Diceros bicornis minor: one gene and its partner. The protein of the gene in region 1 purifies or fractionates together with the protein of each later gene. This does not show direct contact. Links are inferred from orthologs where the notes say so. Each region holds a gene or a part of one and is shown in the gene's direction. Other genes may lie near its edges.

Evidence for each region.
Region 2: the proteins of CSTF3 (region 1) and CSTF2T purify together in Homo sapiens (co-immunoprecipitation; 4 studies listed by BioGRID and IntAct, counting the BioPlex papers as one, with this or other methods). This does not show direct contact. The link is inferred for Diceros bicornis minor from reciprocal best matches to the Homo sapiens genes CSTF3 and CSTF2T.

The regions. Positions count from the first base shown.
Region 1 is NC_080770.1:35,098,979-35,116,022, forward strand, and holds the start of CSTF3 (cleavage stimulation factor subunit 3), read left to right. Parts: upstream 1-9,892; 5' UTR 9,893-10,006; coding exon 10,007-10,033; intron 10,034-17,044. UniProt on the Homo sapiens protein: One of the multiple factors required for polyadenylation and 3'-end cleavage of mammalian pre-mRNAs.
Region 2 is NC_080745.1:52,118,004-52,134,403, forward strand, and holds CSTF2T (cleavage stimulation factor subunit 2 tau variant), read left to right. Parts: upstream 1-8,395; 5' UTR 8,396-8,651; coding exon 8,652-10,517; 3' UTR 10,518-12,360; downstream 12,361-16,400. UniProt on the Homo sapiens protein: May play a significant role in AAUAAA-independent mRNA polyadenylation in germ cells. Directly involved in the binding to pre-mRNAs.

The DNA.
Region 1 (17,044 bases):
ACATTGTTATTCATTGGGGCATTGTTTGTAATAGCAAAAGATTGGAGCAAAAGATTGGAACAACCTACCTGTCTATCAACAGGGAAATGAGCGGAACAAAGGATGGTACATCCATACACCGGAGTCCTATGCAATTGAGAAAATGAATGAAGATCCTATGTATTCATGTGGAGAGACCTCCGGATTATCTGTGATAAAAACGGTAAAAACAAAGTGCAAAACTGTGAAATAAAGAGGGGAGGGATAACAATATATGCAAATACACACATTTCTGCTATAATGAAATATATATTCTCCTAACAAAACTTGGCCTTCTGCAAAATTGCATGCTTAAACTAACAGAACTTATGTGAAAAAAATAAGATTAAGAGTAGACCATTAAAAATCTATGCTACTTTGTAACCAAGCACTAATAAAAGGAATCACTGGTACTTGGATGGTAACTTAGAACACTCAGAGAGGCAGCCTGAGGTGACTGGAGGCTGTCAGGATCAATACTGAAAAAAATATAAAAACAATATAGTAAAAATACCAACAACATTTTTTTTTTTTTTTAATTTTTGTGAGGAAGATCAGCCCTGAGCTAACACCCATGTCAATCCTCCTCTTTATGCTGAGGAAGATTGGCCCTGGGCTAACATCCGTGCCCATCTTCCTCTACGTTATATGGGACGCCGCCACAGCATGGCCTGACAAGTGGTGCGGCAGTGCATGCTCACTTAACCACTAAGCCATGGGGCCGGCCCCCTCAACAACATTTTAATTAAATCAGGGCTGGTGTGTGCTGAGACAATTCAGAATGAAGGTGAGCTCTGCACGAGTGGGGCTTTTATTAAGAAAGGCCTGGAAGGTACTGTGTCTTGCTATGGGAGTCTCTAGATCTTTCAGGGTGTCCACAAGAGCAATATATATCATAAGGATATTTAAGTCATTTTTCACTCTCATTCTCTCATGAGTGTGCAGCAGAGTTTTCCAGAGGCTACATGACATGTGAACATAGCAGATGCAGAAGCAGCCTGAGAATCCAGTGCTTTCTATTAGACCAGATATTAAAGAGATTTGCAAAATGTCACTCTTCCCATTAATTTTCTTTGTTTTGGAAAATATAGTTATTTTTCATAAACATATTTTATTTATATTAACTTGTTATCATTTTTTTATTTGTAAATAAATAAATATTTTAACAATTTACCACTTTTAATTTCTGTATAGTCCTCAATAATTTTTAAGAGTTTACAATGATCTTGAGACCAAAAGATCTAAGAACCTCTGCTATAGAGAAATTTTAGACTTCTTTCATTAGTGTGATTGATAGTAGTAGCATTGTCATTAATATTTGGAAATATTTTCTTTACATTTCTCAAAGATTTTAGTTCCTGGCTTGTGGTTTCTTTCATCAGTAGTGCTCTTTTCTTAATTCTTGTTAATTTCAATTCATGCCTAGACAAACCTTCCAATACCTACAGTTTTCAATTTCTTGAACTCACCTCCAGTGATCTTGTCCTCCAACCTACCTCAGCCACTCACTTCTATGGTCATACCCCAGATTTTGTCATTATTAGTAACTATAGATCCTCTGTGATCTCATTTTTCTGCATCCATTCTTTGATCACCACCTTCAATGTTTTTAGTTCATTCCTTCTAGAGATCCTTTGATGCTGCCATAGGTCCTCAAATCTGATGATACTACTATCTCTCACTCTTTGGTGTCCCATTTCCTCTCCTTACCCAGCTTAAATTCCATGGTCAATTGTTATAAACTCTCCCTTGCATAAACTTTCTACTCACATTCCTCCCTTTTTCTTCCTCATGCTCACTTGACAAAACCACACCCCTGGTTAAATGCAGCTCTCTTCCCCTAATCCACACATGTACTTGTGCTGGTGAACACAACCAAGCTGACTGGGCCACTTTAAATCCATGACCAGAAATCTCAGCGAGACCAATAGATTGCAATTTTACTATCTGTCCCTAGTCAATTCACCCCCACCCCTCCCAAATTATCATTTCATACCTTCCCCTCTCTCCTCCAACCCCCAAGTCCTCAACCCCAAACTTCTTCTCAGCGGAAGACCTTGATTCCTACGAGAAAATGGAAGTAATCACAAGGGAGCTTCCAAATACTCTTCTCAACACACCTGACATGTCCTGGCACCAACACTCACACACTCCACTCTTCTGTCTGTGGACTATTTCTACTTCCATCTCAGGCCAGTCCCTTCTCCATATGCATGACATTCATGCTCCTTTGCCTATCTTACTCCAGCACCTCTCCCTTTTATCTCTGATGTTTTACTTGCTACTGTATCATTCCAGTTATAAGACAAATAAATTCTGGAGATGTAATGTACAGCTGACTATAGTTAACAATACTGTATTGTATATTTGAAAGATGCTAAGACAGCAGATCTTACAAGTTCTCATCACAAGAAAAAAAACTGTAACTTTTGTGTACTGATGAATGTTAACTAGACTTATGTGGTAATCATTTTGTGATATATACATATACCAAATCATCAAGTTGTACACCTAAAACTAATACAATGTTATATGTCAAAAAAGAAGTGTCTGGAAGAAATATGCTTTGGCTGGGCTATAAAAGAAGGGGAAGTGGTCACTAATGGAGTGGCAGTGAGGACAAAGAAAATAAGGTGGACAGGAGCAGAGTCTACAGGGGCCAGCCGAATGAGACTGCTCAGAAAGAGATTAAAACAAATTCTTATGGGCTGCTGTCCTTCACCAGGCAGAATGTACCAACAAAGCAAGAAACAGAGAATGAACCTTTTCTTTCCCCAACGAATTCTGGCTACTTACTGAAAGCTATCTATAAAAAAATAAACATTTCTCCTGACTGCACTGTCCTAGTAGCTACTGTCTCCCTCTCCCTTTTCTTGATTTTGCAGGAAAATCTCTTCAAAAACTTGCTTTCTAATTCCCCTCCTCTCAAGCTTTCTTAAACCCACTCCATCAGGTACTTGCCACCATAACACCTTCAAAACTGCTGTAGTCAAGGTCACCAGTAACCTTTATACTGCTAAGTCCAGTGGTCAATGCTCAGTCTTCATCTTCCTTGACCTAGCAGCTGTATTGACACAGCTGATCACTTCCTTTTCCCTGATAAACTTTCTTCACACGGCTTCTAGGACAACACACTCTCTTACTTGTAGTTTATTGAAACACATTGGATTTACGAAAGTCTGTGAATTCCAAAATGATACCCAAAAAAGAAAAATCCAGGAAAAATTAATTTGTCACCATCTGAAGCATGTATTATTAATTCACTTTCTTACTTAAAATTTGATAATTAAAGGAGGAAAATTAAGCCTTTAACCTGCTTTCTAATAAACTAAATAGCCCTGTTCATAAGGGAAAACTTTTCGAAAGAATGTTAGTAATTAAATGTAAAAGCAATTATATAATCAGAAAATGATAATAAAATAACCTCTAATTAAATTAGCAAGTCAAAGATTATCAGTTGGTATAAGAACGGTTAGGTGAATAATTGACGAGGAACTTAACATGTTTGTGGTTCCAAAGAACATCATACAGATTACTTTCTAGTTGCAAGATGAAAATAATATAACAATACAAATGTTGGAATCAGACTGTCTCCATCCTAATCTACTATTAAGTTTTATCTTGTGTAATAGAATCTAATCGTGCCTTTCCAGGAAACTCATGGGAGGACATCATGAGGAAACAATGAGACAAATCCATAAAGTGTAATATTCTAAAAGACAACTGGCTTGTTGTCTTCAACAAATCAGTGTTGTGGGGGGCCAGCCAGGTGGTGCAGTGGTTAAGTACGCACGCTCGCTTCAGTAGCCCAGGATTGGCAGGTTTGGATCCCGGGCGCACACTGACGCACCACCTGTCAAGCCATGCTGTGGCAGTGTCCCATATAAAGTAGAGGAGGATGGGCATGGATGTTAGCCGAGGGCCAATCTTCCTCAGCAAAAAAGAGGCGGATTAGCATCGGATGTTAGCTCAGGACTTATCTTCCTTACAAAAAAAACAAAAACAAAAACAAACAAATCGGCGTTGTGAAAAAAGGAACTGTCCTAGATTAAAAGAGACATAAAGAACAGAAAAACCAAACACAACGTATGGTTCTGGATTGACTCTTGGTTTAAGCAAACCAGGTGTGAAGGAAATTTTGGGACAATTGGAAAAATTTGAATATGTACTGGATGTTAGTGATGTTAAGGAATTATTAATCTAACTAGATGTGGGAGGCTTATGTTGGCCAGGTAGGAAAATGTTCTTAATTTTTTTTTTTTTTTGTGAGGAGATCAGCCTTAATATCTGCCAATCCTCCTCTTTTTTTTTGCCAGGGAAGACTGGCCCTGGGCTAACATCCATGCCCATGTTCCTCCGCTTTATATGGGACGCCGCCACAGCATGGCTTGCCAAGCAGTACGTCGGTGCGCACCTGGGATCCGAACTGGCGAACCCCGGGCCGCCACAGCGGAGTGCGCGCACTTAACCGCTTGTGCCACCGGCCCAGCCCCTCTTAATTTTTAAAAGATGCAAAATATAGCATTCAGGGGCAAAATGTCATATTGTCATAATTTATTTTAAACTACTCTTTCATTAAAAATTACTTTTTGAAAATAAAATTTGCATTTGGAAGAAGATAAAATTGGAATCATACTGGCTATTATACACCAGAATAAACTCTAAATGGATCATAGATCCAAATGTAGGGTTGCCAATTAAAATGCAGAGTTGCCTACATTTGCCCATTGCAACATACTTATATAAAAAATTATTTGTTGTTCATATGAAATTCAAATTTAACTGGTTGTGCTGTGTTTTTATTTGCCAGTGCTGGCAACCCTATCTACATGGAAAAAATGAAACTACTGAAATAGTACTAAAATCATGAATGAATTTATTACCTGGGAATGGAGAAAGCCATTCCATCTTGGTCTCAAAATCCAGAGTGATAAAAGAGCTAAATTTTACTACATAACAAAAAAAATTTTTTTACATGACAAAAAGAAAGAGAAACCAACCACCTGTCCCTCACCCCCAAAGGCCATAAGCACAATTAAAAGATAAATGAGAAATAGGAATGAAATATTTGCAACCTATATAACACTCAAAGAGTTAATCTCTATAATATAGAGAGCACTCTTAAAAAACAAGACAGTGAAGACCAAAAATAAACAGAAAAATGGGCAAAAAGACATGAACAGACAGTTCAGAGTAAAAGAAAATGACCCTAATATGTATGAAAAGATCATAGTTTCACTTATAATAAAAGGAATGTGAATAAAACTATACTGAGATACCACGACTTACCTATCAGACTGGCAAAAATCCAAGTTTGACAACACACTGCTGAAGAAGCTGTGGGAAAAATAACTACACTGATTTTGGGAGTGCAAAATAGCACAATTCCCATGGAAGAGAGTTTGGTAAGATCTAATAAAATACATGTCTATTTACCCTTTGACTCAGCAATCCCACTTTTAGGAATGTACCCTGAAGATACATATCCATAAATGTAAAACAACATATGCACAAGATTATTTGCTGAAGCATTATTTGTATAGCAAAAGATTGGAAACAACACAGACATCCATTAGTAGGCTTGGGTAAGCTTATGGACATCCATACAGTGAAGTACTGGGACCAGCCCGGTGGCTTAGCGGTTAAGTGTGCACGCCCCGCTGCTGGCGGCCCGGGTTCGGATCCCGGGAGCGCACCGACGCATGGCTTCTCCGGCCATGCTGAGGCTGCGTCCCACATACAGCAACTAGAAGGATGTGCAGCTATGACATACAACTATCTACTGGGGCTTTGGGGGAAAAAATAAATAAATAAATAAAATTAACACACAGTGAAGTACGATGCAAATGTTAAAAAAAAAAGATGGAAGAAAATCTTTATTTTCATTATTTCATTCCCTACTTTACTGGTAGGGAGTGACATCCACAATAAACTAAGTAAAAAAGGTGTACAATAGTGTACCTTTTGTGAAAGAAATAAGGCGAAATATATGCATTGCTTATTTTCACAAAAAGAAACACTAGAAACATTAAACTGAAAACTAATAAAAATGGTTACCTATAGAGGATGGGAATGGGTTTGAGTGGGTGGAGGGGATAGAGACTGACGTGAAAACTTCTCTGAGAATACCTCTTTACATAGTTTTGATTCTTGAGCCAAATAACGGGGTTTTCAGATTTAAAAATAAAATTACATCTAAAAAAGCCAACATTAAAATTGAAAACAAATGGAAAGAGTTGAACTTAACTATATATCAAATTGCTCCGGTAAACTCCGAGAGAGAAGAATTATTTCAAGTGACTTTTGTACAAGGCATTCTGACTGAACATCCTTAATGTAACATAATCTAAGGACAAAAAGAACTTTAAAGAAATCTTAAACCTCACTCAGCAAATGTATTGTTATTGATTTTTTTGTGTGTGTGTGAGGAAGATCAGCCCTGAGCTAACATCTATTGCCAATCCTCCTCCTTCTGTTTTTTTTTTTTCCCCCAAAGCCCCGGTAGATAGTTGTGTGTCACAGCTGCACATCCTTCTAGTTGCTGCATGTGGGACGCGGCCTCAGCATGGCCAGAGAAGCAGTGTGTCGGTGCGCGCCCGGGATCCCAACCCGGGCCGCCAGTAGCGGAGCGCACGCACTTAACCGCTAAGCCACGGGGGCCGGCCCAGTGTTATTGATATATTGATATTTTAGTATTGGTATTTTAACTTAGAAACTTTTAAATATATTTTGTAGGAACCAAGATTTTCAGCATAAGAGAAAAGAGATACAAATGTAAAATCAATAAAGAAAAAAATGTTAAATTTGAATTGGAAATCAATATACGAACTCATAATTTAAAAAATACATTTCCTATCTCTGAGCACTGAAAAAGCCTAGAAGCAATGACATCCAGTGGCAAAGAGAACATCTACTGCCCACATCTTGAGTCTAATTACTATTCCGAAACTGAAGGAACCAGGATGCCTGAGACTGAGTCCAAGTCTGTGACAGGGAAAGTACATAAGTGGGCCTGGGACATCCTGTACCACTAGGCCAAGAAGTTGTCCAAGACTAATGGCATCATGTCAAAAAGACATAGGATCCACTCACCCTGTACGAAGGGACTCGTATTGGCCCCAAAAGAATAATGATTGCAATTGATTGAAACAACTTACGTCTTAAAAAACTCATAAATCCACAATGATACTCAAAAAGAGAAAGCCAGAAAAAAAAATTCATTTTTCACTACTTGAAGCTTAATATTAAAGCTTGAAGTTTAATATTAAATTGAACTCTTTACTTCAAAAATTGGTCATTAAAGGGAAAAAATTAAGCATTTACCCTGTTTTTTAAAGGTTAATGAGGAAGAAGACTTTTTCACAAAAGAGCTTTCTATTGATATAGAAGGAATAATGGAATTAGAACATTTTTATTTAATCACCAAATATTTCATTATTAATTCAGGAAAGATTAATCAATAGACGACCAAACCCTGGTGAAAATTTGCAGGGGAACAGGAAATGGACACCACGCCAAAGTCTTACTCTGCAATTACTTGTTAACTACAAAAAGTGAACTGTACCTAATGGAGAGATCTGATGGTCACCACCTTAAACAAGTGATCAAACTTAGCATCAATCAGTAATTTGATGTATCTCCTGATGTCATACAAAACGAAGTTCATAGCTATACCTATGACATATTCTTGCCAAAATGTTTAACCTGAATCTAATCACTCCAGAAGATGGAATATTCTTAGAGACAACTGGCCAGCTCTCTCAAAAAATTCATAAAAGATAAAAAGATGAGTGGACTATTTCTAGAATAAAAGAGACTGAAGAGATATAACAACGAAATGCAATGCTTGAAACTTGATTGGATCCTGATTTGTGAAAACTTCCTATAAAGACACTTTTGGGATACCTGGGAAAATTTGAATATGGACTGAATAGTATATATTAGGAAATACTTATTAATTTTTTTAGGTGCTATAATGGTACTGTAGATACGAAGAGTGTCCTCATTTCAGAAAAAACAAACTGAATTATTTTGGGATAAAGTATCATTATGTCTATAATTTACTTTCAAATTATTTTGCAAAAACACAAACTATATCTATAAATACATACATATACAGCAAACATGCCAAGATGTTAGTCAGTAGATCAAGATGGTGGGGATACAGTACAGGTATCTATTGCATTATTCTTTGAATTTTTATCTAAGTTTTTCATTAAAAATATTGCGGAAAGATGGCATTTGAGTCAAACTTTGAAGAATGGAATGTGAATACTATTCTTCTTTTTGTTTGTGTGAGGAAGCTTGGCCATGAGCTAACATCTGACGCCAATGCTCCTCTTTTTGCTGAGGAAGATGGGCCCTGGGCTAACATCCGTTCCCATCGTCCTCTCCTTTAGCCGCCAGAGTACGTCTTGACAAGCGGTGCGCCCGTGCGCACGGGGGAACGGAACCAGGGAACCCCGGGCCACCGCGCAGAGCGCGTGAACTTACCCACTGCGCCCCCGGGCGGAACCCTGAATACTATTCTTCAGGACTGTTGTTCTTCCATTAGTTCATCATAGACAAACTCAGAAGCAGATAAAAAGAGAAAAATTGTGACAATCTAGAGATAACTACTTTTCATGTTTTGAACTACTGTGTGTATACTACATATTTATACTACACATCCTATTTAATATACACTGTTTTCGTTTTCTGCTTTTTCACTTAACAATATGATGGATGTTTTTTCTGTCAGTAACTGTGTATCAGCATCAGCTGACTGGCTGCATGCCATTCCATTATAGAGATACATTTAACTAGTCCTGTATTGTTGGATGGTGTGATAAACATGTTAACATACCTCTTTTGCCTGTGTCTGATTACTCGGAAGGGTAAGAATTCAGGCTGTGGAAAGAGCGGAGGTGAAAAGATGTGCAGAGGCGGGGCGACTGAGCAGAGTTAAGGCATGTATGGGGAAAGCTGAGAAGCTGACTTGGTCTGGGGCGTAGGCCCCTGTGGGGAAGGAGGGTGGAAGGAGACATCGCATGCTGAGCCTCGAATGAAAGAATTTGAGACTTGCTCTCACGTAATCTCAAACTACGCCAGGTACTGTTTCGAGCACTTTCTCCTGTGTAACTTACCTAAATTGCAAGTACTACTGTTATTCCTATCGTAGGCCAGGAAACTGAGGCTTGGGGAATTTCAGTCGCCCGAAGTCACCCCGCTAGTGAGGAGGTCAGCCCTCTAGTGCGCCGCAGGCAGCACAGACAACGCAGCTCCGGAGCCTGAGCGCTATGATCCCCACCTTGCCGACGAGGAACCACGGTGCGACGCTGAGCCTAAAACGCGGCCTGCCTGTCTTCACAGCCTCAGACACAATAGCAGGTGGTAACGGTGTATGTTAATACGGTTTGATCTGTCCCTCTCATCCCCCAAAAGGGTAAAAAGCATTAGCCGAGACCATAGAAAACCTCGATGGATTCATCTCCAAAATATTGGAGTCATTTCACACGGCATTCCCCCCAAGTGGCCATCTGCCTGAACTGAACTGACTGGCAGTCAGGCTACAGCGGCGTAGATTCCCCACAGCTCGACGATTCCATTCCAAAGGCGCGCGAGCCTCCAGGCGGAACGGCTTCCCGCCTCCCCGCCGGTGGCAGCCAGCGCCGCAGCAGCCTTTTCCCCCCAGGGCCGTGACGTCAGCACAGACCTTGGGCCCGCCCCTGGGACCTCTCTGCTTCTGCGCGCCCGAGTGACCGGTCAGCTGTGCTCTCAGCTCCGCCCGCTGCCCCGGAAGTGAATGCAGAAGCCACACCTCCCTTCTCGGCCGGCAGGGGCGCAGCCATTTTAATTCATATCTGAGTGGGCGGTGGCGTTTCGTGTTGGCGGTCTGGCTCCGCTGGGCAGGGGGTAACTTGACTGGTTTGGGGGTGGGTTTTAGTTTAATTTTTCTTTTCTAGCTTCGCATCGCGGGCCAGTTCGCACCTTTTAATCAGCTGAGGCCATGTCAGCAGACGGAGCCACGGAACAGGTGAGGAAGGAGAGTGGTGGGGCCTCGTGGCGACCTCTTCTCTCCACGTCTCAGTTGGTCCGAGTACTCCAGCCATGTTCGCCCGAGGAAGGAGTCGCGGGTCTAATGAACCCGCAGGACCGCGTGCAGAGGGGTGGTGGGAATGGGAGCAAGATCTGACCGAGATTTAAAATTATTTTTTGGCTTTTCTGTCTTAGGCGCTCATATGAACAAATACTTGACTTAGACAATAGCCGGGAAGCCGCTTCCTGCCGTTTAAATTCGTGGCACTACTCCGATGGGATGCCTGCCTTTGATACCGTTTTGACGTTAGGAATTGATTATTTTAACGTGTACCCGCTGTTTTCGAAAAACTCAACAATATTCCCTCCGTCCCCTCTGCTGTATATACTGTACCCAGAAATAGGTTACTAGTTGAAGAAATTAAGATGAGACTAATTGGAGAAATAGATTCTTGCAAGAGCGAATGCAGAAGGAAGTTTGGGAGTAGAGCATGGTTATGCTGAGATTTGGGAATTTTGTGGCGTTCTCCCGCTTTCTTCTTTCTCTATCCACATTTCATTTTCGTTTTTCCAGCGATACAAATATTGCAGAATTTGATACATCGAAAGTGAGAATAAGTTGTAAAGAAAAGCAGCTGTTTTAGTATTGCATATAAGTGACGCTTAAATATTTTGAAATTCAGATTTTTAGATAAACAAGTTCTTTTGTTCTTTATTCAGAATTTTGTAGGATAGTATTTATCTCTTAGTTTGAAAGAGGAAGCTGATGTTTTAAAAGATGTCATTCAATTTGTTTATCGATGTAAGTCCTGGTATGTTTAGGTAAATAATTTTTAAAATGGAGGCTGGCTAGCCTGCGGAGTCTCAATTTCTTGAAATTTCCCTTTGCCATAGCAACGAAATACACTTAGGTTTTCGTTTTTCAAGTCCCCAGCTTATAACGTGGAGGCTGTTCTTGGAGGTTGACAGAGACGAGGCAAAATTCGAGCATTCCCGTCGAGTAGTCTGGGTGACTGTAAATTGCATTATGTCGAGAAAGTTTGGCTAAACTGAATTTTGTGTTTGCTTGTCGATTGATTTCAGTTCTGAAATCTTCGCAGTGTTTACATTTCACATGCTGTTAGAATAGCCAAAAATGCCAAATCTTAAAATTATATCAAATCTGTTTATATATAACTACCCTTTCTGTTTTTCTGGGCTCATATTTTGTCATCTGAAAGTTGAGGAGGAGTAATGTACTGAGGTTTCATTGAAAGTTTTTGGAATCCATTGTTAATTCTTAAATTTATCTAAAATTGTAATGACACTGAAATGTTGCTATGACCTGGAATAGTTCACAATTGTGGTGTTTTAAATGGGAGAGCTGGTGGTGAAAACTTAAGAGAAAAAAATTTCATCCAAAAGTTTTATTTTGCGAAGTTTAGAACATAGAAAAAAGTTGAGAAAGAGTGCAGTGAACACCTACAGTACAGTTCTTCACTTAGAATCAACAACTATTAAACGTTTTGCTATATTTGCTTTCTCTCTCTGTACATATTTATTTGAAAGTCAGTGGACACGTTTCAGCATTCTCTTATATAAGGACATTAATGCCGTTCTATGTAACCGTAATACCATTTTCCCACCTAAAAAAATTAATAGTAATACCGTATCATTTATAAAATCAAGTCCATATTCAAATTTCCCCAATTGTCCCAAGTGATTCATACAGTTTTTGTTTTTTTTTTAAATCAGAATTTAATCTGGGTTCACATTACATCATTTGGTTATGACTCTTGAATATTTCCTCTGTTTTTGTCTCCCCTAGGATAATGTCTGGTTGAAGAATCCGGGACAGTTTTCTTGTAGGACTTTTCATTTTCTGGGTTTATTTGATTTTTGTGTGTGTGGTGTCATTTAACTTGTCCCTTCATCTTCTGTATTTCCTGAAAACTTTATGTTTAGGTGTAAACTCAGAACTTTGATAATATTTGGGTTAAATATTTTTGGATAGAATACTTTATAACGTTACATCCAAAGGCACTTCATGCTAGGTTGTTCCACTATTTAGTGATGATTAAGTTTGATCACTTGGTTAGGGTAATGACTGTGGATCTCTTCATTGTAAAGGGTTATTTCCCCTTTTGCAGTTAGTAATCTGTGGGTTGATACTATGTTCCTCAATAACCTTTTACCTAGTTATTTATCATCAATTGATAATCATTGAATAAATCAGTTGTTACATTGGAGGTGGGAAATGGTAGTTTTTTAAAAATTCTGGGGGCCGGCCCGGTGGCTTAGTGGTTAGGTGCGCGCCCTCCGCTGCTGGCGGCCCGGGTTTGGGGCCCGGGTTTGGGGCCCGGGTTTGGATCCCGGGCGCACACCGACGCACTGCTTCACCGGCCATGCTGAGGCCGCTTCCCACGTACAGTAGCTGGAAGGATGTGCACCTATGACATAACAACTATCCACTGGGGCTTTGGGGAGAAAAAGGGGGAAAAAAATTCTGTTATTCTGTCTCTGTTTACTGGCTCATATTTCTCTGTAAAGAAGGAATTTCCTGTCCCCCCCGTCCCTCCTTTTTAAAGATTATCACTGTGGTCTCAAGAGTTTCTTGTATTTAATAGTATGTTAAAATCACCTATAGCCATTTTTCTTTTGGATGCTCAACTTATCCTAACCTTTATGATGGCTCCTGGATCTTTTTTCCATCGATCTAAAAAGATATTTTTGAACATCTGATTACCGACAGAGAGTCATCTTCATATAATCTTTTCTTCAACTTTTTGATATGTTTCAAACATGCAAAAAAGTAGAGCTTCAACTCATGGTTAATCTTGTTTTTTCCATGCTTTCGCTTGCTCTCCCCACCCCTATTACTTAGAAGCAAATCCCCAAAAATAGGTGTTCTTTTGTGTACTTATTAATGAGGAAAGAAAGATGAAACACTCACAGTGTTGAAACTTGAAACCTGGTTTATTTTGTTGGGTTACCATGAGTACTTACTAGCTGTTAAGGGTTAAGAGCAGCGCCAAACAGTTTTAAAGCCTGAGTGGATGTGTGTGTGGGTTAGGAAGAGGGAGGGAAAGGGCCAAGTATGTATGTTAGATGATGCGTTCTTTGGGCCCCATTATTTTATCTGTTTTTAACAAAATCTTTCTGTAATAGCCTTTCTTACTTTTCCCTCTCCCATTTTATGTGATATTTAGTATACCAGTTTTGGGCAGGCAAATTTCATTTGATCTTTATTGTTAATATTTCCTTTTTTTTTTTTTTCTTTGCTTGAGGAAGATTCGCCCTGAGCTAAAGTATGTACCAGTCTTCCTCTATTTTGTATGTGGGTCGCTGCCACAGCATGGCTGACGAGTGGTGTAAGTCTGTGCCTGGGATCTGAACCCTAGAACCTGGGCCGCTGAAGCAGAGCACACCATTAGGCCATGGGGCCTGCCCCTATTGTTAATATTTCTTGAGAAAAGTGGACTGTATGGAATGTGCTCTTTTGGCAATAATTGTTCCTAAAAGAGATTGATCTTTGTTTACAAAAGTATTGTTTTTCCTTAGAGGTACACAGAAAGGTACTGTTAGGAGAGATTGCCTTCCTTTAGCATCAGGAATACAGGAGTTTCAGGGAGTACAGGAGTTTACATCCTGGATAGACCTTCCAGAATGACAAAATCTGTATTCATGTTTGTACCTATTAAGTGGACAGTTGCCAAAAACAATTCATAGTTTTAAGCTTTTCTGCCATTGTCTCTAAATCTTTGTTTTTCTTTAGACAAGATCTAGCTGTGAATTTGAGTCTTTTTGTTTTGTTTTGCCGGACAATTGATAATGGTCTGAGAATTGATCTGAAAAGGGATTTGAGTTGGGCAAATATTTAGAGTTTTTAGATTAATGGATAGTTTTTTTTTTTTAAATAATTTTATTTATTTATTTATTTTCCCCCCAAAGCCCCAGTAGATAGTTGTACGCCATAGTTGCACATCCTTGTAGTTGCTGTATGTGGGCCGCGGCCTCAGCATGGCGGGAGAAGCGGTGCATCGGTGCGCGCCCGGGATCCGAACCCCGGGCCGCCAGTAGCGGAGTGCGCGCACTCAACCGCTAAGCCACGGGGCCGGCTCTTGCCCTTCTGGTTTTACTCAATATTTACTGATTAAAAACTATCCATTAGGGCCGGCCCTGTGGCTTAGCGGTTGAGTGCGCGCACTCCGCTACTGGCGGCCCGGGGTTCGGATCCCGGGCGCGCACCGATGCACCGCTTCTCCCGCCATGCTGAGGCCGCGGCCCACATACAGCAACTACAAGGATGTGCAACTATGGCGTACAACTATCTACTGGGGCTTTGGGGGGAAAATAAATAAATAAATAAAATTATTTAAAAAAAAAACCAGAAGGGCAAAACTATGTCCTAATGGATGTTTTCCAACGTTTCACTTAATTTATCTAGTGAATTAGTATCTTGGCTACTCTTGGTCTAAAGAAGTCCTATTTTTCAAATTCAAAAATCTTAATCGATTTTTATTTGTAGTTTGTAGCTATTTATTTCCTAGGGGATGAATAAGCAAATTTAATAAGCAAATATGATAAGTATAATTACTTGAACCAATAACCTTTGGCCTATTTTTACTTTTTTAAGTTTTTGAATTGTTTGCATGTTCAGTAGATTTTTAGTCTTTGGAAAGGTTGAAGAGGTTATTGCTTTATATTTCAGGATACGTATTTAAATTCATTCACAATAAAACATCTAGTAGAGTTCTGTTGCACTGGTAAAGGAACCCAGGACTAAGCTGGCATCCAGTCCTAATGTGACACCTGTCACATAAAATGCTTTATTCTCTAGGCGTGTGAATTGGCTCAGTTACTACTTGCAGATATTTCTGCAGAGTGCTGCCCTGCTTTTTAATTTTGAAAAAGGTTGACTACCAAGAGAAACTTAAGACTTCAAGTGTATGGTATAGTATATGCAATTTTCTTAATGTTTTAGCAAAAAAATAGAAGACTTGGAATGACTTAGGTCTGATGCCACTTTATTTTTAAGGAAACATAACATTTAAAAAAAATGTGTTTATGGAACAGATAGATTACGTAGTGTTTCTCAAGATGGTGTTCATGTCTATTGCATCATAGTCACATAGGTGTTTTATAAAAGTATAGGTGCCTGCACCTTAATTTCAGACAGACTGTATCCGATTCTGAGAGTGGGGCTGAGAATCTTCACTGGAAACAAGTACCACAGGTGATTTTTATATAAACGAAAACTTGCAAACCACTTAGTTAGGGGTTGAAGATACTTGGATCTTAAAAGTTGTTTTTGAATACCTCCTTGATAAAATAAGTGGAGGAAAAAAAATGCAGATTATTTGAGGATGGTTAGGCTTATTTTACTGATTTTCCTCCCCCTACTGTAATTAGATAGTCATTACCCTTAATAGTGGAAAACACTCATTACAAAACCAGATTTGAGACGCATCTCTGTTTGTTCTGGTGGTCATGGTCAAGAGCTTATTTAGGTTTAAGTCCTTTAACTTGCCACCTCCCTCCCCACTTTGGACATTTATCACTTGGATTAAATTTTCACTGATCTTTATTTTTTTTAAGATTTTATTTATTTATTTATTTATTTTTTCCCCCCCCAAAGCCTCAGTATATAGTTGTATGTCATAGTTGCACATCCTTCTAGTTGCTGTATGTGGGACGCGGCCTCAGCATGGCCAGAGAAGCGGTGCCTCGGTGAGCGCCCGGGATCCCAACCCGGGCCGCCAGCAGCAGAGCGTGCGCACTTAACCGCTAGGCCACGGGGCCGGCCCTCACTGATCTTTATTTTAACTTAATTTCGGTATGACCTCTAGCATAACACCCTCCCCATTTACTACAAAAATAGACAGCTATTTGAAGAAAGAGAACTACCTTTTTTTTCCTGTCCAAGTTTTACTTCCCTGGTGAGAATGGGAAGAGGAAATTAGATTATTTTATTTTATTCTTTCAATCATTAATAGAATAGTGTCTGTCACTTCTCCACCCTCCTCCCCCAGTTAACAAGTCCCTATTGTAAATTAAGATGCCATATAGAAAGAAAGTTGATTTGCAGTTTTAGTAAAGCTTAACTAATAGAGAGTTTTGCAGAGGCTACATGACATGTCCACAATTGTATGAAAAGGCTATTAAAAATACTTCTCCCTTTTCCAGCTATATAACTGTACTTATGTGGTTATATACTTCATCCAAAACAATATATTGCAGTAGATGGAAAGCAGAAGCAGATAATATCTTCTATTCAGCCAGACACTAAAGAGATCACAAAAATGTAAAACAGTGCCATTGTTTTCACTATTTATTTGTTTTGGAAAATATTTTTAAATAAAATTAAGGAGTTTATTATTTTAAAATGAATTAGCAAATACTTTTAAATTTTTTGTGTTAATTTCTAATGTGATAATGTTGATAGATATAACCCACATTTTTAGAAAATCTCTTTGGTTCCTTAGTTTTTAAGAGTGCAGAGCGATTCTTTACAAAAAGTTTGAGAACCGTTGAACTAGTGCATGCTGCCTGTGAGGCCATTAGTTCTATTTCTGAATTAGCTTCACATTACAAACAAAAGGTTAAACATGGGGGCCAGGGCTGTCCCGGTGGTGCAAGTGGTTAAGTGTGCGCACTCTGCTGTGGCGGCCCGGGATTCGCCAGTTCGGATCCCGGGCACACACCGATGCACTGCTTGGCAAGCCATGCTGTGGCGGCGTCCCATATAAAATGGAGGAAGATGGGCGTGGATGTTAGCCCAGCGCCAGTCTTCCTCAGCAAAAAAAAAAGGGGGGGGGATGGGCAGATGTTAGCACAGGGCTGATCTCACAAAAAAAAACCAACATGGGGGCCAGCCCCATGGCTTAGTGGTTAAGTGTGCGTGCTCCGCTACTGGCGGCCCGGGGTTCGGATCCCGGGCGTGCACCTGCGCACCGCTTCTCCGGCCATGCAAAGGCCGCGTCCCACATGCAGCAACTAGAAGGATGTGCAACTATGACATACAACTGTC
Region 2 (16,400 bases), on another chromosome or scaffold:
TTCTTCAAGCAGAGGAGAGAGATACAGAACAGGAATAGAGCATCCTGAAGGAGTTACAATTGCCCATTCCTTCTTTTCTGGATGACTGTATTACTGCATGTTATGGACCGAATTGCGGCCTCCACCACCCCCACCCACCCCTACCCCCACCAATTCATATGTTGAAGCCCTAACCTCTAATGTGACTTATTTGGAAATAGGGCCTTTAAAAGAGATAATTAAGGTTAAATGAGGTCATAAGGGAGGGGCCTTAATAAGGGTGGGGCCCTAATCCAATATGACTGGTGTCTTTATAAGAAGTAGAAGAGATGCCAGGGATTCACACACAGAAAGGAAAGGCCACATGAGGACACAGCAAGAAGATGGCCATCTGCAAGCCCAAGAGAGAGGCCTTTGGAGAAAGCAAACATGCCAGCACCTTGATCTTAGGCTTCCAGCCTCCAGAACTGTGAGAACATAAATTTCAGTTGTTTAAGCCATCCAATCTGTCGTATTTTGTTGTGGAAGCCTGAGCAGACTAATAATACACTGCCTGTGGGTTCTGAGAGATAACAGAGTATCATTAAATACTACCACCACCACCCCCTTTCACTTAACATGGTTGGAGTTGGTTTCTGTACTCGGTCCAAGAAGTGCTAGCTACTGTGTTGCTATAAACATTGGATTTTACATTTTTATCTAATTTCTGATCCTGAGGAATCTAATTGTGTGATGGCAAATTTGAACTGGCACTCTGAAGTAATGTTTTTCAAGGATCATTCAAATGTGATAATGAATCCAAAATACATTCTGTCACACTGGTTGTTGTTGTTGTTGTTTTTAACAATCTGAGCCCTCAAGCAAGTATTTCAGGAAGGCCTCTTTCCTGTAACTTGGTATAAATACAGGATCGTTCTAGAGGTCAATCAAGCCTCAGAAGGGAGATACCAGTCTAACTTCTGAAGTGAACGGCAGTTCAGACATTCCTCTGAGGTTGGAGGTTAGATTGTTCTGGTCACAGAAAGAAAGATTCACAAGTTGTTCATCTTGAACAGGATGTCTTTACTCAGGACCCGGTTTCAGGGCTTGTACTTTCCACAGTTTATGAGGACACTTCCTTCCTCTGTGTTCTTTCAGGTGACAGCCTGAGGCAAGAATAGGGAGCTCTGCTTCTTGTCCAATTAGTTATGCTTTTCCATGTTTGAATAAATGGCTTATGTCTGCCAGTGCACGCTCCAAAGTAGTAGTCCTAATGACATCCTGAACATGGCTATATGCTCAAATAGGTATCCTGTGTGCCAGACCAATGCAGGGTTGTGTAAGCCTCAATCCTCCACAGTCAAAGGTCACACAGGCCCTTTTCATAAAAATGAATGAGTGGAATTTCAGCCAACTAAATATTTGAAGAGTGCATTTCATGGTTTAGTATAAGAACCTAGTGAGCATCAAAAATGATCAGTAAAATTCTCATTGAAGTGTTCTAGAGGATTAAGCCTAAAAATTATCCATGTTCAACTACAAATCTACTACAAATTAAAATGACAATGTTATCCAAGGTTGTCTCGATACAATTTTTAAAATAATATAATCTGACGACAGATCATTAGTTCACCCAGCTCAACCCCTTCAAAGATAAAAATGGAGATACAGACTCAAAAATAAATAGCATTAGACTAAAATTTGGGTCTCTTTCCACTTAAGATGCTGCTTCATCTGCTACTATTAATTCTATATAACAAGTGTAGACTAATAATTACCATACAAAATAACAATAAAAACAAATACGTTATGTATTCCATGCAACAATCCAATACAAGTGATATTGTTCCCACTTAATTGATGCAGAAATGGAAGCACAGAGAGGTTAAGTAATTTGTCTAAGGCTACACAGTTACTTGTTGAACTAGGCAGCCAACCCAAGTCTCTCTGACTTCAAAGTCTATATTCTTAACTTCTTCACTCTACTACCCCTAAGAAGTGCTGAGAGCATAGTTTGGATGAGGAAGTCTGAAGATCTAGATCCCATTACAAGCTAGGCCAATAACTAGGCATCTGACCCTGATTGAGTCCCTTGTCTTCCCTAGACTTTATTTTCTTCATATATTAAAAAAACGAGGTTGTACAACACAATCGCTTCCAAGGAGAACATTTGGTTCTGTCCAACCTCCAGCCCTGGAATGGCATATTCCCAGCAGTCCCAAATTCATGTAATCTTCCTCTTGCCAATAAAAGTGATTCATCTCATGTATAAGTAATGAAATTTACTATTTCTTCCTCTGTACATTGTTTCATAATAAATATATTTAAAAATTGGGAGAAAATGTCACAGACCAACCTAATTTGGGGTTTGAGAAATCTGGGCTCTTTCATTTTATGGAAAACGTATTTGTATCCATTTAACTAGATATTTTTAAAAATCCTTAAGTGATGTTTAACTACAGCCATGCAAATTGCAAAAGGAAACATTTTCTCCCTCGCTTTAGTCTTTAGACCTTATAGTCCATCTGTTGCCACAGCACTGATTGTGATGTCAAAATTGCAATTAGTTACACTCAGAGACAATCAGTAAAAAGGCCAAGGGAGATTGTGTTCAGGCCTCAATACCACACTAATTATGAAGTAGGAGGTTTAAAATCAAGAGAACTAATTTCAGGCTGTAGCTCTGCCACTGACTAGCTATGTCTCCTTGATAAACTCATTTAATGGAATAATAATTCAAGAGCTTGAGTTCTTGAGTCAAATGATGTATGTTCAAAACCTGGCTCTGCCAGTTATGATGGGCACTCTGTTAACCTCTCTGTGCCTCTGTTTCTTTAGTTATAAATTCAGACACTATGACTGCCTATCTCAGAAGGGTTGTTGAAAGGATTAAATAAAATATTGTATTTTATAAAGCACTTATCAGAGGAACTCCTTCCTATTAAGTGATCAGAGTTAGCTTTTATGAATAGTATCTGTATTTTGAGTGAGTCCATTGTTAAAGTTCTAGGTAACAGTTCTCTGTTAAAACATCTTTAAAATCAGAATACAACTGTATATACCTCACATGATTGTTGTCAAGATCAGATGTGGGAGCCCAAAGAAAAGTGTTCTGTAAGCTGAAAGCATTAAATTATCATTTTGTTAACATGTAATCTGTTATTACAAGATGATTTTGTATTAATTTTAAAAATATTTACTGAGTGCTTGGAATATAAAAGGCACTGGGCTAAGCAATATGAACAAAATAAATCAGATATGGGTCTGTGCTTAAGTGGTAACACAAGAATACTAGCACCTCTATTACAATATAGAAAATAATGGGTGCCAAATCAATACTCTACTTTAAAAAGAAAGTCTTTAGGGTGAGAACTGAAGGACAAGAAGGATTTAGACATGGAGAGATGAGGAGAGAAAGACGGAAAAGAAGACATCCTCAAAGAAGGAATAGTAGATCAAAAGCTAGGAGCAAAAGCTAGAAGGTGGAAAAGCACAGATCATGTGTGGTGAAAAATGAGGGGTACAATTTAGCCAGAGGAGAATATATGAAGGCGGCAAGTGAGTAATGAGAATGAAGCCATGTTATAGAAGATGTTAAATACAGGAAGAGCCACTGCTACATTAGATTAAAAAATTATAATGATGTAAAAAGGATAGTCCAAGTGCAAAAGATATCATGGAGAAGGACTGGATAAAATTGGTATTCTTAAACCTCTGCCATTTTTATTCTATGTTCATGATTCAGAAAGATGGAAGAAAGCCTACTGACTCTCACATCAAGTTTAGATTCATGAATCTGATCTTCAAAACCTTTTGTAATCTGTCCCAAAAGACAATCTTTTATCACACTACTCACGAACTCTCTATTGGTTTCCTCTGGGGGCATCAAAAACACTAGGTTTCAATTTCATGTCTTGGCTATTCCTAGCTCCTGGCTTAGTCTCTTCATCTTTTGTTTATACATACCAGATTATAACCCATCCCTTAAATCCCAGCTCCATTAGGAAGCCTTCCTTGATGATCTAGACCTTATCACTCTCTTCAATCTCTACATACTTCATTACATATCTACTTTATCAAACAGTAACATGAAAGAACTATCACTGACCTAGGAATAAAATGACAAGGGTCTTGACAGCAGGCCCCTATTCTGATTTTGGGCATGCTTTTAATGCTACAGGTTTCCTCTTGCGTAAAATGAAGAATTTGTGACTTAGCTAACTCGAAGGTCACCTCCCATCATTCATTCAACATACAATGAGCACCCACCTGTGCTAAGCTCTATCCTAGGTGCTGAGGATACAGTGGAGAAGAAGACAATGTATCTATGTATCTATCTATCTACCTACCTACCTATCTATAATTGTCTCCCTTTAGTTCAGTGGTTCTCAAACTTTAGCCTGCATTAGAATCACCTGGGGAGCTTGTTGAACCACAGATTTCTGGGGACCGGCCCGGTGGACTAGTGGTTAAGTTCCCATACTTTGCTTTGGCAGCCCAAGGTTCACAGGTTCAGATCCCAAGTGTGGACCTACACACCACTTATCAAACTATGCTTGGCAGGAGTCCCACATATAAAGTAGAAGAAGATGGGCACAGATATTAGCCGGCACCAATCTTCTTCAGCAAAAAGAGGAGGATTGGCAACAGATGTTAGCTCAGGGCTAAGCTTCCTCACACACACACACACACACACACACACAAAAAAAAAAACCCACAGATTTCTGTACACACACATACACGCACACCAAGAGTTTCTGATGCAGTAGGTTTGGAGTGGTGCCGGAACTTTTGCATCTCTAAGATGTTTCTAGGTGATGTTCATGTTACTGAACACTTACAGAATCTATGTTCTAGTGGAATGTTTATCTTTTTCACTGCAGTATTGCCAGTGCTTACAATAAATATTTATGGAAGAGAATAAATATGTCACTTTGTTAATTGACAAAGGGAAATCTAGCTCTTTCCTTGAATGATGTCATAGTTTAGAAGGAAAAATCATAATTCTACTAAAAAGTAGAAGAGTTACTATCATCAGAAAGGTATGGATAAGGAATGGTTTATATCCAAAGGAAAATGAACTCACTTTCAACCTAGAGGAAGAAGGAGTAAGATTAGAGAGAACTTCATCGGGGAGTGTATTTGATCTATTCTTTGAAGGACCCATACACTTATTTCAAAAATGCCTGTCATAACTAAAAATATTTTTAGTACCTCGTTTTGGAATTTGTCTAATTAATCTATGGTGAATCTTTTTTAATACCTGCAAGTCTACAGAATCTTTGTATTCTGATATAAGTTTTGATGTTTGGAAATAGCTAAATATCATATTTTTGCCAAGTCTGGTCAGAAAGTTAGGTGATTTAGTTGCATAACTCTTGGTTGAAAACAAGGTATACCTTTGAGTTAAGGCAGCAGTTTTCTAGTATGACTTTCAAATGGAGCCCTAAAACAATTTCAGGGTAGGAGTTCACTTGAACAATGGAAGCCTTATGGATTATGTTTATACTTTCTGAAGGTGGTTAGTTTGAAGAACAGCTCCCACTTGGCCATATGCTCTGATGTGTTTGTTTAAAAATCATTCTTAGTACAGTTGATATTTTGATTTATTGAAAGAATCAATGTTTGAACATGCAAGATGCCATGTACATTTTTCTTCAAAGTATATGCCATGCTATAAAAATCTAAAGTTTAAACATCCTGGGAACAAAGAAAGCAGTATAAAATGAAAGTTCTTCCAAGGTAGATCTATGAAAAGTATGTATTGGTACCAGGAAACGTGCACAGGTTCCTAACAGCTCTTGGTAATTCTGGGCCACTCAGTTACTAATAAATATTAGCTTATGCATCCTGGGCATTGAGCTATGTGCTGGGTCACAATGGTCCTCTCTGAAGGGCCATATTAAACCATTCTTCTGGTTTTGAATAGGGGGACTAAACAGAACATGGAAGGCCTGTGACAAAAATCACACTCTTACAGTGATGCCTTCTCCCTTCTTGTTCATCCCCAGAGTTCCTCAGCTACTCTGTTCACGCATCCTTTGTGCCCAGAGTATCTTCAGTGTGGGATCAGCATGTACTAGCTATACTGGATCAGCATTAAAATATTAATAGATTTTTTAAAGACCACTCATATCTCATACCTTTTAACAGTGTACTAAATTTACGTTGGCCTGACATAAACCGAAAACAAAACAAAACAAAACTACTTCAAGTCCTTTCGTTTAGATCAATGATTCTTAAAGTGGGGGTCCCCAAACCAGCAGCATCAGCATCACCTGAGAACTCGTTAGAAATGCAAATTCTCCAGTCCCACCCTAGAAACACTGAATCAGAACTGAGGCGGGGCAGTGGTGAGGCCCAGCAATCTGACTTAACAAACCAGGCTCCAGGTGGTTCTGATACATGCTGAAGTGTGAGGACCACTTGTTTAGATACTATCAGCACCAGCAAAGAAACTCTGTCAAATAAGCTGTGCAACCTATCATGAACTTTACAACTTATTCTAATAGCCTCTTATTATCCTTAAGATTACTACACTTAATACACACACAATTACACACATGACCGATGTCTAAGTTGTCCTTGACAGATTGTGTGTAGAAAAGTCATGGCTTCTCTCTGCAAAGGGATAGTACGGAAAGGAGACAAACGGACTTGTTTTTAGACAAATGGACTTGTTTTTAGTTTTCCAAAATAATACCATCCTCAACTTCTCTCCACCCCTGCCCCACCTCCAATAAAAGAATCAGGAGGGAAAAACCATTACTAGCAAGTGGCTATTCTGTTTCTTTCACGTACCAGGAAGATTTTATTAGGTCATATAAATACACTTTATTACTTGCAGATATAAATTATCATGCACCTTGAGTAAATAGCTATGTCCAAGCCTGTTTTAAAGAATTATTAAAACACTTGAAGGTAAATGGATGTTTTGTCTAAATTGTAGCTAAACCCATCATTTCAGATCTATTCATTGGACTATGACACCCAAGAACATAACACAATTTTTTGATGAAACAAAGTTTCATAAGCTCCTCAAAGGGCATATGTAGAATTAAGAGGTAAGACAGACTCTAGAACAGTGCAGTTCATAAACATATAATGCAATACATATATATAATTTTAATTTTTCTAAGTAACTACATTAAAAAAAGTAAAGTGAAATGAGTGATATTAATGTTAAAATATATTTTGTTTAATCCAATATATTAAAAATATCATTTCAACATGTAAACAATACAAAATTAGACATATTTTAACTTTTTTTATACCTAAGTCTTCAAAATCTTGCATGTATTTTACACGTATAGCACATCCCAATCAGAATGCTAAATTTTAACTGTAAATACTTGATTTTTATTTTGATTTAATAAAATTTATCATTGCAAAAGTAGATTCCATACCCAAACATCCTAAAAAGTTTTCCATTAGCCTAACTGAATCAGTTTTTATATTTAAATTAATAAAAATTAAATAAAATTAAAAGTTCAATTTCTTAATCACACTAGCCACATTTCAAGTACCCAATAGCTACAAGTGGCTGGCGGCTGCCACATGCAGCAGCGCAGCTCTGGAGCTACAACAGACCAACCGGCATAAGAATTCTGGCTTTGCCGTTTACTGGCTGCTTAGCAAATTACCTAGGTCTCCCCAAGTTTCAGTTCTATCGTCTGTTAAACGGAGGAAAAAACCTAGGCTCCACATATGTTTCAACTTCTGCCGGCAAAACTAACAGACTAGAAACAACTACAGTTTGTTTTTCCCTTCATAGTAGAGGTGTGAGATCATTGCCTCAGTTTATAATAATCAGAACCAATCTAAATGCCTCCAGTATAAGAATAAATTCATTTAATTCACGCTCTGCAGTCTTTAAATGCTATTTATTATTAACCACTTAATATAATTAAGGGAAAAAAGGGTAATACTATGAATAGCTCGACTGCTGCCTGGATGCACAGAGGAAAACCCGGCCGGTCCCGTCGCCTATCAAACAGCGGTTATCCGAAGCAACCAGATGGGGGGGGGGGGGATGGATGGAGCAGGCTCATTTGCGCGGCGTGTATTTCGGGGCAGGTATTTTCCAAAAATGTTTTTCTAAAACGGAGCGATTACTTTTGTATTTTCAGGAGCAAATCCCAAATCTGTTTTGAAACGACTACACTTTCCCCTCTTGGTCTAGAATGTGATTTTAAATATAGCTTAAATATAAGGAGACACTGCTATACGAAAACCCTTCCAGCAGAACGAAGAACACACCGCCTTAGCTTTCGGTTGGCGGTTTCCCGCCGGCAAACCGAAACAAAGCCGCCCTTGACGTCAAAGGAGGCCGCCTCTGCTGGTTACCATGGTGAAGTCTATGCGGCCATCTTTACTGGGGTCAAGGCGCACCGGGCTTTTCCTGGCGGGGGTGGTGGCGCGCCATGGAAAGTCTGCGGATTAAGAGACGAGAAAGGAATCCTGCGTCTGGGTAAGAAGGAGCTGACAGAACCACAAACGATCAAGGGCAAAAAGCATTAGCTAATTAAGTTAGTGGAACAAAGAGGCGCAGATTTCGCGGAACGACTCAAGCCGACTACTGAGGTTTCTGCCCGGAGTTTAAAAGCTGCTTCCGTTGCTCAGCGGAAGTGTGGGTCGCAAGAGGACGACTCTGGGAAGAATCCGTTCTCCGCCGTGTCTGCACAACCGGAATCATGTCGAGCTTGGCGGTGAGAGACCCAGCAATGGATCGATCACTGCGTTCCGTGTTCGTGGGGAACATTCCGTATGAGGCAACTGAGGAGCAGTTAAAGGACATTTTCTCAGAGGTTGGTTCTGTTGTCAGTTTCCGGCTGGTGTACGATAGAGAGACCGGAAAACCCAAGGGTTATGGCTTCTGCGAGTATCAAGACCAGGAAACCGCGCTTAGTGCCATGCGGAACCTGAACGGGCGGGAGTTCAGCGGGAGAGCGCTTCGGGTGGACAATGCTGCCAGTGAGAAGAACAAGGAGGAGTTAAAGAGCCTAGGGCCTGCAGCGCCCATCATTGACTCACCCTATGGGGATCCCATCGATCCAGAAGATGCCCCAGAATCAATTACCAGAGCAGTTGCTAGTCTCCCCCCGGAGCAGATGTTTGAGCTGATGAAGCAGATGAAGCTCTGTGTCCAAAACAGCCACCAGGAAGCTCGAAACATGTTACTTCAAAACCCACAGCTGGCTTATGCACTGTTGCAGGCACAAGTAGTGATGAGAATCATGGATCCAGAGATTGCTCTGAAAATTCTGCATCGCAAGATACATGTCACACCACTCATCCCAGGCAAATCTCAGTCTGTCTCCGGCCCTGGCCCGGGTCCTGGGCTATGCCCAGGCCCTAATGTTCTGCTCAACCAGCAGAATCCTCCAGCCCCTCAGCCTCAGCATCTGGCTAGAAGACCTGTGAAAGACATCCCTCCTCTGATGCAGACCCCGATCCAGGGTGGAATTCCAGCCCCGGGGCCAATACCAGCCGGGGTTCCTGGACCTGGTCCCGGTTCCTTAACTCCTGGTGGAGCAATGCAGCCCCAAGTTGGAATGCCAGGGGTTGGTCCGGTGCCTTTAGAGCGAGGACAGGTGCAGATGTCGGATCCTAGAGCGCCTATGCCTCGTGGACCCATGACTGCTGGTGGCCTGCCTCCTCGAGGACTGTTAGGAGATGCTCCCAATGACCCACGTGGAGGGACTTTGCTTTCAGTCACTGGAGAAGTAGAGCCCAGAGGCTATCTTGGTCCACCTCATCAGGGTCCCCCTATGCACCATGCCTCTGGTCATGACAACCGTGGCCCTTCTTCACATGAGATGAGGGGAGGGCCATTAGCAGATCCCAGACTGCTAATTGGAGAGCCCAGAGGACCTATGATAGATCAAAGGGGCCTACCTATGGATGGCAGAGGTAGTAGAGATTCTCGAGGGATGGAGACTCGAGCCATGGAAACTGAGGTCTTGGAGACACGAGTAATGGAGAGAAGAGGAATGGAGACCTGTGCAATGGAAACCAGAGGAATGGAAGCAAGAGGCATGGATGCAAGAGGAATGGAGATAAGGGGCCCTGGTCCTAGTTCGAGAGGCCCTATGACTGGTGGAATCCAGGGTCCTGGACCCATTAATATGGGGGCAGGTGGTCCTCAGGGACCCAGACAGGTCCCAAGCATTTCAGGGGTGGGAAATCCTGGAGCTGGCATGCAGGGGGCAGGCATACAAGGAGCAGGCATGCAGGGAGCGGGCATACAAGGGACAGGCATGCAGGGAGCGGGCATACAAGGAACAGGCATGCAGGGAGCAGGCATACAAGGAGTAGGCATGCAGGGGGCGGGCGTACAAGGAACAGGCATGCAGGGGGCAGGCAAGCAAGGTGGAGGCCAGCCTAGCAGTTTTAGTCCTGGGCAGAGCCAAGTAACTCCCCAGGATCAGGAAAAGGCAGCTTTGATCATGCAGGTTCTTCAACTGACTGCAGATCAGATTGCCATGCTGCCTCCTGAGCAAAGGCAGAGCATCCTGATTTTAAAGGAACAGATCCAGAAATCTACGGGAGCTTCTTGAAAAGTTTTAGAAAATATTTAGCAGTAGTCCCAGAAAGTTTTTTTGTAATGGAGAATGGGTGCAGAAAGCTGACTTCTGCATCCCCACACTTGAATGATTAGAGTTTCTCTCCTCCCAGAACCTAATCTTATTTCTTCTTGTTGTCTTTTTCTTTTTTTCTGTTTTCCTTTTTATTTTTAATTGGGGGGGTAGGGGGAGGAAGGGGTGGGTCTGTTCAATTCATTGTAAATGTACAAAAATAACTCTGAACATGATTATATTATACCAAATAGGATTACAAAGAATATTCAGCAATATTAAAAATGTCTACAATATGTTAACTACATTTTTAAAAATACTGAGTAAAATGATGTGAAAACTGCACATAAAGACTAAGAGATGACCTATTAAAATGGTAATGTACTAATAAGATAGTTTAAGGTTTTTGTTTGTATAAGAAAATAAAGAAATTGACCACAAAATTTTAAGATATATTTTTTGGTAAGCCATTTAAAATACAAAATCCTGTTTTGGGGGTGATAGAACGTATTAGTTGAAGCATCGTTTTAGTGTTTTGGAATTCTTTTGAAACATTAGAGCTAACAGGATAAGTCTAGCTTGTGGTATTGGAATTTTTTTTTTCTAAAGCTGTGCTACCTGAAAAATCAAGGAATGCATCTGGTGTGATGTGATGTTTTATTTATCTCACCCTTCAGGGACCAGCAATATTCAGGCCTTGCCCTGAGCAGGATGATTTTGCTGGGACAGTTCTAGGATCAACCGGGTTACTTAAGTCTTCTCTGATGAGAGTCAATATCTCTCGCACTATCTTCCCATTTCTCAGTAGTCTTTAAGCCCTAAATGTGAATCTGAGTAATTCTCTCACACCCTTCCCAAACATCAGCATCTAGGGACCAGTTGATCTGGATGAGTTATACACAGCATTGGGCTTTTCATAAATAGTGGAAGGCTTCATGCATTAGAGCTCTCAGTTTGCTGGTTACTAGCTTCCATATACAGATGGTATCCATCTGGTCAACCAGAATCAGGAGTTAAAAATCTTAATCTGAGCAACATTTAACATGCCTTTTAGTTTTCTTATTTCAAAATCTACCTATCTATCACCATCTTATCAGAATAATTGAGGCCCAGGTAGGTAGAGATATTCTTGTAGCCTTAATTCCCTGCTCAGTTGGTTATTACTCACTTTACTTTTTACAAGTAATAAAGTTATTGAGTCCTAATATATATACCCATGAGACATTTAAAAATCAGTAGGAAGGTCGGGCTATCACATTTTCTTTAGAGCTACTACCTAATTTATTTTTAAGCCTTGAGGATATAGACACAAAAATTTGTGTCATAGACCAACTAGTAATTAACAGAACCATAAACACACAAATAACCAGATGATCTTACTCTGGAGAAGAAAAACCAATATCTAGTTAAGAGGAAAAAATATCATTTAATGAGAGAGCTGAGACTTGGAAATTGAATTATTTTCCCCTTGCAAAGTTTTTACATCTTAAATGGGTAATTCATTTTTTACAAAGTTTTTATCCCTATGCTGTTGTTTCCTGCTACCTGTTTTACTCCTCTTTTTACTGTTGTTGATACTGTTAACTTTCTCCTGTTTTCTGTATGCTTCCCCTGTATTGGAGGGGATGACTCTCCTTTATGTGTGATAGTTCCAGGCAATAGTAATTCACCGAGTTGGCTTGATTCCTTTGAAATTATAGTTGTTTTATCCCAAAGCTTTCACTGAAGGGCTTTAACTGAAAACTATTAAATGTTATGCTCTTGGTTGTAGTAAGATCCGTGCATTGTTTAATGCAGACTAAATAAAATGTACAATTAAGGCTGACTTTAATATCTGATGTTTATTTTTAATGAATGCATTATTCAAAAGTTATCTATTCTTGAGAGCCCCATGGGGCCTGAATACTTTTTTCTTTTAAATGAAAAAAGCAAAACTAAAGAAATTGCAGGTATGGATGGAAATCCCTTTCTTAGATTCATTATATGTATAATTCCACAACTGAAATAACTATAAAGATGTGTTATTCTATGGTTGGTATCAGTAGCAACATCTTGGTGGATACTTAGGCTTCTTTTCTTTATGTTCCCCACAGAGAACTCTTCTCTGTATCCCAGGAACACCTACTTACAGGTATCTTTATTACCAACAGAGTTTGTTATATTGCAATGCACTATTTTACGTGCTACCCCCCACTCCCACTTTTAATAGATCAAGAACTCTGAACATGGACTGTCTTACTCACTTCTGTATTCCCTATAGCAGAAATCACAGGACAAAACATTCTATCAGAGTCTTAAGGAGAAAAAAAAATTCCACTAAAAGCTCATAAGTTTCTCCCCAAAGGATTTAGATTCCACACAGAACAAATGAGTTATACCAAATATTTGCATTAGAAAATAAATTAGAAATAAATAATAGAAGCAATCTCCTTTACTCTGGTAAACTTAATAAAATAGGTTCTCTCTCCTCACTTCCAATTTACTGTCTGACTGTCCCAGCTGTTGATGTAGAATATAGAGCCTTATTTCATTTGATAGTGAAGAATACAAGCAACACATGTCTGCTACCATCAGAATCTTATGTGTTTTACTGTAATTGTTGGTTATAGCCCCTGGCATCCTGCATTTTCCCAAATACCGGTAGACTACAAATGAAATCACAGATTCATTCATAATAACAGTAGCTGAAGATACTGGGGTGAAATACTGATTCGCAAATGCCTCTTGAGTGCTTATTCCTCTTGTTGGGAATATGAAATGTTGAGCTTTAATTAGTGCCTGCCCATTAGCCCTTCCCCTCTTATAGTACTGATTAATATCAAAATGTGTTTTAATGTCTGCTGATGTCCCAGGACTTCTGATTTTGGGGTATTTGATAAGACATAAGCCAGTGTGAATCGCAGGTGAAGGGAAGCTAATGCAAGTGAGATCACGTATGACTTCTCAGCCACACTTTTCAGAATTCTAATGGCAGAAAAGCATTAAAAAGAGAACCTTAATGTAATCACAGCTTGCAAAGCTTCTTGCTTTTCCATGCTGTGATGGGACATTAACTAAGCACACAGAACCTGATCTCCTATGGTGTGTCAGGCCTATCTCTTAGGTCTGATGAGGGCTAAGGATAATTATGTGCAACAACCTACTGTGGCAGAGAAACTGAATTATCAGTTATATTTCACAGTCTTCTCACAAAAGAATATGTCAACCTCTCACTGCTGTATATCTTCAGCTAATCTCTAGACACACTTCTGGTTGGAGTTTGCTTTTCTCATCAGTCCCTTATCAAGAATGCTCTATAGTGAAGACCTAATTGATTTTAAGGAAATTAATATATTTAAAATAATATAATTAATGTTAATAGTATGACTATTATGATATCGGTATATAAAATGCTAATATATTTCATATATATGTATATTTCAGATCTTAACCAGCTCTTTTAATATTTTCATTTGCTTTCATGCACCCTGAAACAAAAGTTTACTCCCTTGGTTGAAAATTCAGCTTCACAAATATTCATATTACAAATTACCTTTCTCATGAGATGTTAACTAGCATGTTTTTTCTTGATATTTTTCTACCACAGTATAAAGCTTGTGTCAGTAAAGGGAAGGTATTGTATTAAAAGTGACATTGGGGTAGTATTGTCAAAAATAACAAACCTGGGGCTTATTAAATACTGTACATAAAAATACCAAAGTCTTTACCTAGAAAAACAAACTAGATGTCCTAGTTAATGACAACTCTTTATAACCAGGAGTTGATTTATGTCCCAAAGATAGGTCACTAATTATCAAGGAGTTAGAATAAAATATACAACAATTCTCAACCATAATCGATTTTGTATGATTCAGTATGTATAAAATCTGCAGACATTTGAAATCAATCTCATTTGTGTCACAAGGTTGGTCATTTAAAAAAGTCTTATCTGCTTGATTAATTATTTGTCATCTCTCACAAAAGTAGAATGGATAATCTCTTGGGCATCAAGAAATGAAACTAGTAGTTTTCCCAAAATTATTTTGTCTCTTTATTTAATTAACTGTTTTAATCAGAATTCTGTCTGATTACATTAGTAATATTCTTCAATAATTTTAGTGCAAAAGTCTGTGGGACACTTCGATGTACCTGTCAGCCTTTGACTGATTGCCTTACTACCTCTCCTTGCTGCCTGGAGTGAATATGAAGCAACCTGTACCTATTTAGGAATCTACTTATGTATTTATCCCCAGAGAGTCCACAGAAAAAGATACATCTGCTGTAACTCAATCCCCAATTTCCTTTATCTTAAAGGTTCACTGTAATAAACATTCAAAACAGCCACATTAAAAATTGTATATTTGAGTTAATAATATGATAGAAAGACCTATGTAGGGCTTTCTTGATGCACTAATTCATAAAATCATATTCTATATCCCAAATATCACACTTGTTAACATGTTCAATAGTATAGCAACATAAACAAGGACCTAACACATTGGCAGACACAAACCTGGCTCTATGAGGGTGAAGACAACCATTGCCTATTATAGAATATATTTCCTACCTTTAGGTAAGCCTGTATCCAAAGTGACTTCATCTTTTTATGCTTATCAGTCATCATTCAGAGAAAAAGAACCTCATCTATTTTAAGAAACAGAGAAACTACATTGTTGAAATCTCTAGAATTACATACCTACCCTCCAACCCCCATGTCAATTTTATCAAAGTTCTGTCCTGTAGAAGCGTTAAATGTCTTTGGACAAGGGACTCCAAATTTGTGGTCTGTGGGCCAATTGAGCCTGCAGATATGTTTTGCTTGACCAGCCAGAGGTTCTCAAAAATGTTGAATTTGAATGTATTTAGGTGCAGCATATGGTCTCCAGCTTGGCCACAGGCCCAGCCTCTCTCTATGGTCTTGTACTAGGTTTGATTCACACAATTACTTGCCAGTGCTTGTAACAGTTTTGAGTTTACAACTCCTACTTTTACACTGTATAAAAACACAGCTCTTAGATTCAATTGAAATTATTAATGTCTAATATGATAAATGTGAAATAGAAGAACTGGTTCAGCAAGTATATTTCTGCAAAATCAATGAACCAACGAAACAAAAACAAAAAAAAGATACAATGCATTTTTTATTTATCACTTTTCATGAGGTATACTGAGCAAAGGAATGTCCTGGAACACTAATCCAATGAGTACATTTCTGCCACAAATCTGTTGTGGTTTTAATAAACATTAAGCCAAAATAGCAACATCTTTGTTAATTCAAAAATATTTTTATAAAATGAGAAATATATGTCATATAGGTAAATAATATTAAATGCTAACAGCTTTAGAATGCACATATATATAGTATACATAGTAGAACAGAGTTCTTTTTTTTTTTTTTTGTGGGGAAGATCAGCCCTGAGCTAATATCCATGCTAATCCTCCTCTTTTTGCTGAGGAAGACTGGCTCTGAGCTAACATCTATTGCCAATCCTCCGCCTTTTTTTCCCCAAACCCCAGTAGATAGTTGTATGTCATAGCTGCACATCCTTCTAGTTGCTGTATGTGGGACGCGGCCTCAGCATGGCCGGAGAAGTGGTGCGTGGGTGCACGCCCGCCCAGGATCCGAACCCGGGCCGCCAGCAGCGGAGCGTGCGCACTTAACCGCTAAGCCACGGGGCTGGCCCCAGAGTTCTTTAATTTGTCTGTTATTAACCAATTTAAAAAAATGATCCACTATGTAATTTCCACACTGATTTTTAAAAAAAGAAAAAAACCTTAATCAGATTATGTCATTCCCTTGTTTAAAAACCTCTCATGGCTTAAATTGCTCTTAGAATAAAATATCATGTCTTAAAAAGCCCTAAGTAATTTGGATCCTCCTATCCC